Linked DNA regions of Nothobranchius furzeri. The protein of the gene in region 1 interacts with the protein of each later gene in a biochemical or structural test. Links are inferred from orthologs where the notes say so. Each region holds a gene or a part of one and is shown on either strand. Other genes may lie near its edges.

What was found.
Region 2: the proteins of tal1 (region 1) and lmo2 form a complex in vitro, tested with the Homo sapiens proteins (2 studies listed by BioGRID). The link is inferred for Nothobranchius furzeri from reciprocal best matches to the Homo sapiens genes TAL1 and LMO2.

The regions. Positions count from the first base shown.
Region 1 is NC_091751.1:54,506,249-54,510,714, reverse strand, and holds the start of tal1 (T-cell acute lymphocytic leukemia protein 1), read left to right. Parts: upstream 1-1,586; 5' UTR 1,587-1,694; coding exon of another isoform or gene 1,695-1,744; intron 1,745-2,658; 5' UTR 2,659-2,787; coding exon 2,788-3,338; intron 3,339-3,644; coding exon 3,645-3,763; intron 3,764-4,466. UniProt on the Homo sapiens protein: Implicated in the genesis of hemopoietic malignancies. It may play an important role in hemopoietic differentiation. Serves as a positive regulator of erythroid differentiation.
Region 2 is NC_091744.1:61,982,970-61,987,402, reverse strand, and holds the start of lmo2 (rhombotin-2), read right to left. Parts: upstream 2,969-4,433; 5' UTR 2,823-2,968; coding exon 2,782-2,822; intron 1-2,781. UniProt on the Homo sapiens protein: Acts with TAL1/SCL to regulate red blood cell development. Also acts with LDB1 to maintain erythroid precursors in an immature state.

The DNA of each region.
Region 1 (4,466 bases):
ATGGAGTCAGTGAATAAAGTCAACTTAGAAAACGTAAACACTTGTTCATATGATTATATTTATTTTTGTTCGATTTGGGCCAGGATGTTGAATTGAGATATTTTAAGTGAAAATTATTGTTGCTGTCATAAAGTGTGTAGACTTATTTTCAATCATGCGGTTCTGTTTGAAAATCGATTAAATTAATTATGTTTTTAAAAAAATTATCTGACTTTTGTTTTCTATCTATCTATCTATCTATCTATCTATCTATCTATCTATCTATCTATCTATCTATCTATCTATCTATCTATCTATCTATCTATCTATCTATCTCTCTCTCTCTCTCTCTCTCTCTCTCTCTCTCTCTCTCTCTCTCTCTCTCTCTCTCTCTCTCTATCTATCTATCTATCTATCTATCTATCTATCTATCTATCTATCTATCTATCTATCTATCTATCTATCTATCTATCTATCTATCTATCTATCTATCTATCTATACTGAAGATAGTTCTTAATTACTTAGACTGGATATGTTTGGGGTCACCCACTTTGCATTTTGTAAATGATCCAAATAAACGACCATTACTAAATGACTGAAAGCATCCTTTGTTTACAGCCTTTAATCACCAGCCTGACCTGCCAGACACGTCCTCTGTTTACAGAGAGCTATACTTCCCACAAAGACGCATAGGCTGGCTGGTCAGGCTATTTTTTACACCTGCCTAAGGTAATTATATATATATATATATATATATATATATATATATATATATATTCGTTTCACCTGCAGAATGAATATATTCGTTATTAGGGATGTACCTGCTGGCCGAAACGTCACCGTGATAGAGTGTCACAGTTGATGCTCTGCCCGGTTATCTGATGCCTCCAGAGCCAGAGGCCTTTTCTGTCTTTTTTTTTTTGTCCTTTATCTCTCCAAGCCACGACTACAAACCCCCAAGGGAGTGGTGGCCGGCAATTTATTTATTTATTTATTTATTTAGTTAGTTAGTTAGTTAGTTAGTTAGTTAGTTAGTTAGTTTCCTTGTTGTCTATTAATTTAGTTATTCATTATCAGTTGACAGAGTCGCTCCTTCAGACAATTATCCATCCCGGAGCAAGGGGAAAACTCAATGTAGGTTCTGTGATCATAAACAAATGAGCAAATGATCACGTGATTTTATCAGGTTATTGTTTCATAATTGGGCTTAACTAGTGCCTCCTTTTCTCAAGAGAATATAATTTAAGCGCTGGGCTCAACCCGAGCTTTTGTTTATATCGTGAGAAAATAAAAAAATAAAAACACCTTAATGCAGCTCAGGCAGTACAGTCTGCTGCCTCACGTTGTTACAGGCCGTTGCGCTGTGTCTGTTTGCTTTTTTTCATGGCTTGCCCTCCACAAGACTATATAGCCCACGACAGCCAAATAATAATGAATCATTTCATAAATAATGGGTTTAGGGGCTTATCGCGAATGAAGAGGCCGCTGCCGCGCGCTTATCTCACTCGGCCACATTGCGGCCTGTGTTCCGCTCCCCTTACAGAGGGAGCGCACTGGATGCGGCGGGGAATAACTCAGCTGCGCGCGCACACACGCACACACACGCACACACACGCACACACACACACACACACACACACACACACACACACACACACACACACACACACTGCTTAACAACTGGCTGGGAAAAAAAGAAAAACCTCAGACATGGATGACCCACTCACAAAATGGCTCCACAGTAACATCAACACGACTGGAACGGTAAGTGCCAAAATCACCTACCCATATTTAAATCGTTCTATTTTCTACTCCAAGTGATGCAAAATATCTACTATCGGAGTCGATTTATTGGTCTAATAAGAGAAATTATCCGTCTTTTTTTCCTGCGATCGGATGAGAAGGAATAACGGAGACGAGGCCTGCGGGAGAATCCCCTAAAATAAAAGTGCGTCTTTTCTGGATAATTGGTTGTTCGATTTAAAAATACATTCCGATGACGTTTGTCTTCTAATCACTGAAGAAACACCTGGTTTTATTATAAGCTTCTGTGTTGTTTGGTTATAATAACATAAGCATTCCGGCCTTTATGGAAGAGAAAAGCAAAATGATGTTTAACTGTTTTCTTCTGTTGCTTATTTTTGGTATTCTGTAATTATTAAGGGCAGACATGAAAAGATTTCGACGCATAACGGTTTTACCAAGCTCTTCTGGTAGTAATGTTTGTGTGAGAGTCGAGGATCTGCTTTAAAATACATTTAAATAAACCCAAACGTATCTCTTTGATTAAAGGTAACTCTCATCTGAACGTATATAAAAAGCTAAACTGTATAAAAACGTTAAATATAAGTACAGAAAACACACAAATAGATGTAATAGATTACAAAAATGTTTTAAATGTGGTATTTTGTGTTAAAGTGATTTCTTCATTGTCAAATCTCTGTTCTATAATAATGAGTTAAGTGAGCTATTTAAACCTAAACACACATTCCTGTAGGAAAAATGCCTCTTTTGTTAATTTAGCAGCAAAAACACATTAACAAAATAAAATGCAGCAGTTATTTATTGGCATTTGTCAGATAATTAGAAATGTGTAAACCCGTTTAATCACACAATTTGTCCAGATGTAGCGGTTTTTCGGGAAAAAAGTCGATTAATTATTAATTTTTCCTCCAAAGACTCCCAAGGACATCAAACTGCTCATCATTTTCGACGTGTCTGCCACAAGTCATGTTCCGGCGATGAATTAATCGAGGGGCATTTTATTTAGGATACAGCGGGACTGCAATAGGGGCCACGGTTTCAAAATGATGGAAAAAAAGGAGCAGGAGCTTTGTCCTGGAAGTCCCGACGCAGGATCCGGCCCTGGAAGGCGCGAGGGCTCCGCCATCATCTCCAGACAGAACGGATACAAGAAGGACGAAGAGCCGCGGAGAGAAAAGAGGGAAGAAGAGAATGAGGATGATGATGAGGAGGAGGAAGAGGAGAAGGGGAGGGGGGGTTTCTTCAAAGGGGTTGAGGAGACGGATGACGTTCCGCTGCAGAACTCGAGCAACGGGACCAGCATCAGCATCATCATTAACGGCGTTGCCAAGGAAACTGCCCCTCACAACGCCCTAGACCTGAAAAGGGAAGTGCCGGTGATCGAGCTCTCCAGGAGGGACGCTATAAAGGCGGTGCAGCGCAGGACTGAAAGCCATTTGGTGCCGATCACGGAACTTCGCAGACCTCCACCGCTGCCGCTACCACCGCCGCAACGAGACGACGCTCGAATGGTCCAACTGAGCCCAAACGCGTTTCCTGTCCCGGCGCGGGCGATGCTCTACAACCTGGCGCAGCCTCTTGCCGCCATCAACAGGTCAGGGAGAGATTGGCTATCACGCATGCTCCGTGTAATTTAAGTTTTCACCTCTGAAGTTGGATTAATGTTGGGTCTGTGTGGCCTTTTAGGTGTGAAGTAAAAGACACCTGAGGTGTAGATATTTGGATAAATGCTGTTTTCTCTGATACAGATGCATGTGTGTGTGTGTGTGTGTGTGTGTGTGTGTGTGTGTGTGTGTGTGTGTGTGTGTGTGTGTGTGTGTGTGTGTGTGTGTTTATGGTGATTTTAAAATGCCCATATCCTCATATTTGTTTAAAACTTGTGCGCTTTCTTTTCCTGCAGTCTTGGAGGAGAGTCAGAGCAGTACAGCATGTACCCCAGCAACAGGGTAAAGCGCCGCCCGGCGCCTTATGAGGTTGAACTCGACGAGGGTAGGCGCATTTTAGATCTTTATAAGTATGGTAAGATGCACTTCTGCTGTGTCCTCCTTCTGCCAATAAAATGTCCCTTCTTCATCTCCATTGTCATTCATCCACTGACATGGACCAATGCAGCTTCTGCACTGAGTGTTGCAGAAGATGCTTTATTAAAAAAGAAAATGATCCAGCGAGGAATGAAGAATGCCATTTCTGGCACAAATTATTTCCGTTTGTAGCCAAATTCATATACCTTTATATCATTAAAACATACCTTTCTCAGGCAAATTGGAAGTAATTTTGATTTGGAACATTTCTAATTGTTTTGCTGCTGCCCACTCCCAGCCACAGGAGAGGAGGATGGGGGTGCTGCTGCCTCCATGCCAAGGTTTTGCTGCAGAGTGGGCTGAGGGATTAAGATAGACTGGGTGTGTTCCAGAGGAAACAATAGCCCCAAAGACACCATTACTGGGGGTGGGAAGATCTAACTACCTGCAGTGAAGCATTTTATTATGCCTGACAAAATACATTGTACAGAGAGTGCTCAGTGGGGTGAACACAACCCCCTCAGACCCCATGAATAAAAGATTTCTTGTGTAACGTCTGGAAACTTTATGCAAGATTTCTAATAACCCATGGCTGTATGGAGGACAGCTTTGCAACTTTTGCTTTAGAAAATGTTGTCACAAATGTTGTGCATCTGTTTTCTGTTGGCTTTTTGCACCTGCCACGTTTTCTGTAACAAGCT
Region 2 (4,433 bases), on another chromosome or scaffold:
TAACTGCTGTGATCATAAAACACGTAAACGGCAGCACGCAGAACTCACGAGGCAACGTTTTACGTGATGTTCACTTGTTGCTATGAGTAATAAGACAGAAAAAGCCACGCCAAAATAAGTTTAGGAAGCCCACTAAGAATCGTAATAAAAGCATTTAAAATAAATACCATACACAGTTGAGGACACGTTGTTTAAGTACCTGATATGAAGCGGTCGCTGCATAAGCGAAAACCTTTACTCTCGGGATCCCACAGCTTCATTTTATCCCGGTCACTAACGTGTTTTATTACAATGATCCAACGTTTGCGGCGCTCCGGAACTTGGGGAATCCTGTAGATGACTCATTCCTTATGTCGTCCGCGTCTGTTCTGCATCCTGGGGCACAACAGGAATCTACCATATTTCCCGTTTGATTGAATTTTCTGACAATAACAAATAGTCCAGCTGCCGGCTTCTGCATGCCAATATGGCGCCGTTTCGATTTGAACTGTTGCATGCCGGGAGATGTGACGTCAACTCCCGGAGCTCTATGGGACTGTGAAAAGCTGTAATTTGACATAACTTGGGCTGTCTCACACTACCCAACAGGGCACTCCTCCTCCCCCTCACTGCTCTGCCACACATTTCTGTCTGTGCACCCCCCACTCCCACGCTCAAATAAACTGCAGCACACTTTCCAGTCTGCAGTGTTTGCTTGGAACCCCATGACAATCTTGCAGCACCACTGGTCCTGAGTTAGTAAAGGATGTAAGATATGACTCATACACACCTATCAGGAATATTGTTTAGGAATTTTCTTTAAAAAAATGAAAAATAATATGTTGCTACTACTAAAAATGTGAAAAGGATTCTTGAAACACTTGATCGGATCAAACAACGAAGATGTTTTTCCAGAACTTTTGAAACATTTATTTTAAAATATGCAAGTAATATTTAATATTTCTTTTCTATCTTTTAACAGTTGATCTTCAGCCGGAAAAAGGTAAATGCCTTCTCCAGGTCAGGGACAAGGTCCTGCTTAAAGTGGAGGAGTTTACATGTCTCAGGGTCTTGTTCATGAGTGAGGGAAAGATGGAGGACAAGATCAATAGGTGGACTGGTGCTGCGTCTGCTGTGACGTGGGCGTTGTACTGGTCTGTTGTGGTGAAGAGAGAGCTGAGCCGGAAGCTGAGCGTCTCAATTTACCGGTCAATCTATGTTCCAACCCTCACCTATGGTCACTAGCTCTGGGTATGAGATTGTGAATACATGCAGCCGAATTTAGTTTTCTCTGCAGGGTGTCTTTAGAGATGGGGTGAGCAGCTCGGTCATCCAGGAGGGGCTTGGAGTAGATCCGCTGCTTCTCTACATCAAGAGGATCCAGTTGATGTGGCTCAGGCATCTAGTTAGGATGCCTCCTGGACACCTCCCTGGTGAGGCTTTCTGGGTAAATCCAACTACAAGACAGGAAGACCCAAGACACGCTGGAGGGACTATGTTTCTCGTCTGGCCAGGAAACACCTTGGGCTTCCTCATGAAGAGCTGGCCCAAATGGCAGGAGAAAGGGAAGTCTGGGACTTTCTAGTTGGGCTGCTACCCCCCATGACCTGACCCAAGATAAGCAGACAAAAATGAATGGATTTTTGATCTTGGCTTATTGTAGAAAAGCCCTCAAAGTCTTGCATTTTGGGAAAACATTCCCTTTGTTACGCTTATTTTGTAGTTGGCCGGAAGTCTGCTCCAGAAGTCCAGCTAGAGATAGAGATAAAATGGCTTTAGGTTCATATCTCTCGAGGTTTACGTAGCTCTAGTTTGTGTCCCGGGTTCCTCTCTGCGATATGTTGCTGCCTGGGGGATAGCACCGGGACATGGTCGAGTGTGTGCGTGGATGAACAGTAAGTGCAATGTTGGACTGATTATGGCTATCGAGTTAATTATTATGCATTTCCTGTCCCTGTGAAAACGCTGTTGATATACCTTCCCTCGGGACCGATCGGCGCTGGTCTGCTGGTGTCGTACGAGGAGGCATGAATGTGCTTTGTATGAGTATACGGGAATGTAGAGAAGTACAGCGGTGTTGTTACAGTGCGGGAATGGGAGTTGGTTCAGAGTATCTGAGCTAAGCTAACCCGCCACCGGAAGTACCCAGTCGGGAAAATAAAAGCACTCTTTTGTTTACAGACCGGAAGTTGACCGACGACGTCAAGGTTAACTTGACAAACCTTAATATAGTGGCTTTATGTGAGCAGATGATGATGATTTAGTGACCTCTGACTGTTTAGTATGGTTATTAACTGATGATGTGGTGGCGGAAGGTTAATATTCTGATGTGTGTTAATTGTTTAATAAGGTTAAGTTATACATACGTCATATTTGTCATTCTGCAGGAAAACCACACCCATGAGCTATCATGTCTATCAACTGCTATCCTGATTTACTTGTCCTAACCTATGGGCTATAATAAAGAAGCCAGGCGCACAACTACAATTATGACTCATCTTCTTTATATTCTGAGGGGCTTTAAGTAATGCTCTGGCCAGCATTCCCAGTGTAAAGCGAGTTTCAACCTTGGTCCAACGCCTTTACAGTGTGCCTTAATACACTTATGTTACAACTCCTGTTCCCATTATGGCTGCAACATCTGACTCTAAACATGTAGTTTAGTTTAGTTTTACCTTACATCCGTTTCTTTAATTTTTCCTTAAATTTTCTTTATGAATATTATAAGCAGAAACATCTGATCTCATCGTCTTGCACGTGGGATAGTTTTCTGATAGAATGTGTTTATTTTAGTTGACTTACTCGTTTGCTTCCAGTGTTTTCCTCTCTATGGTAGAAGTCATTCTCGAGCCTGATCTGGATACTGGAAGGCGCGCTGCACCTGCACCCCTGGTAAAAACCACTTTCAGATCGCTGGAAATAAAAAGCGAACTCAAGAAGCAGCTCCCTTGTTTCCAACAGATGCAGAACAAGAACAGCTCCCTCTCTAATCAGCTAGACGCCGATGGAGGAGGACGCTGTCATCATTTCCTGAGGCAGCAACACTTCCATGCCTTGCAGGTCCCACAGCGACTAGAAGAACCGCGCCAGTGCGGTTCGATAAGGAGGGTTCTGCGGGGAGGAAGTAGTGCGTGTCCGAGTGGCCAGCAGCTGCAGCAGCAGCGCGTTTAAATACATTGGGGCCCTTCGGGCTTTGCTTTCGCTTCTCTCTTCCTGTTTCAGCGCTTCACAATGAGGGGAAACGGGTCTTAAAGCGACAGCAGAGCTGCTGGTCTGTGAGTCGTGCAGAGGGTCGTGATGGTCGTGACTGACTAATGAGTCCATCTGCTGCAGGAGCTGAGCTGATAAAAACACCTGCTGGTAGTTTTATCTGCCCATCATGTCTTCCTTTGCTTTGTCTGTAATTAATGCAAGTAAAACATCTAAACTGTTCATGTCAAAGGCAAATAAAAATATATTCTTATGTTTTGTTCTAGAATATGTGGCCTGCTGTTTTGCAAATAAATGAATAAAGAAAATTTAGAATCATCTCAAATTGAGCTTGTGCTGCATTTTTGTGCCACATTCCTCAACATTAAACAGATGTGCTGAATTTCTGCTTTAAATAAGGAAATGTAATGTTCAAATTTAAATAATGTGCACACCTCGTACATTTACGCAGACGCTGTGAAGAGGAACATTACCCTTCAAAGATAATGTGTGAAATTTAAAGTTCTGATTTTTACATTTTTCTCTTCAGAAATTTGCCAGCAAAGCTTAACGAGTCTAGAATGACTATAGAACGTTCTAGAATGAAAAATATGATTTATTAAAAAAATATATATACTAATCTTTTACCCCTATAATAAAATGTATTTCTTGTCGTTTTTGGCACACTTTCCTTTTCAAACCAAAGCGCCAGTGGACATGTCTTATCTAGTGCCAGAGCTGCAGGGTAAAAGAGGGAGGGACACACACATCAGTTGGACTGTGAGGACAGATAAAGCGCTTTAGTTCCAGCAGTCAGAAACAGTGCATGAAGATCAGAAGCAAACTGTACACTGTAATAAATTGTAGGACAGAATAACTTAAAAACGAAAGTTCAACAGCTGCCTTAAAAACTTGAGTCATGTCAACTTAAATGAAAACTTTCAACTCTATATGTCAAGTTTTACAAATATCATAAATAATAACTTTGTTTGAATATTATATTATGAGTCGAAACAACAAATCTTATTAGATTACAAAGTGGAAAAATCATTTTGTCTTGTTAAACATACACACAATTCTACATTATGTTAACTTATAAACTTGAGTTAGACATGTATGGTTGTCCATTTAAATTAAAAGTTTTTATTAACTGAACAAATGGATTAATTGTTTGAACTTGTGTTATCAAAACGGCAGCTGTCATGCCAATACAGGCAATCGGTGAAGCAGTAGTTATGTGACGTTCACAAACTAATTGAATGTTT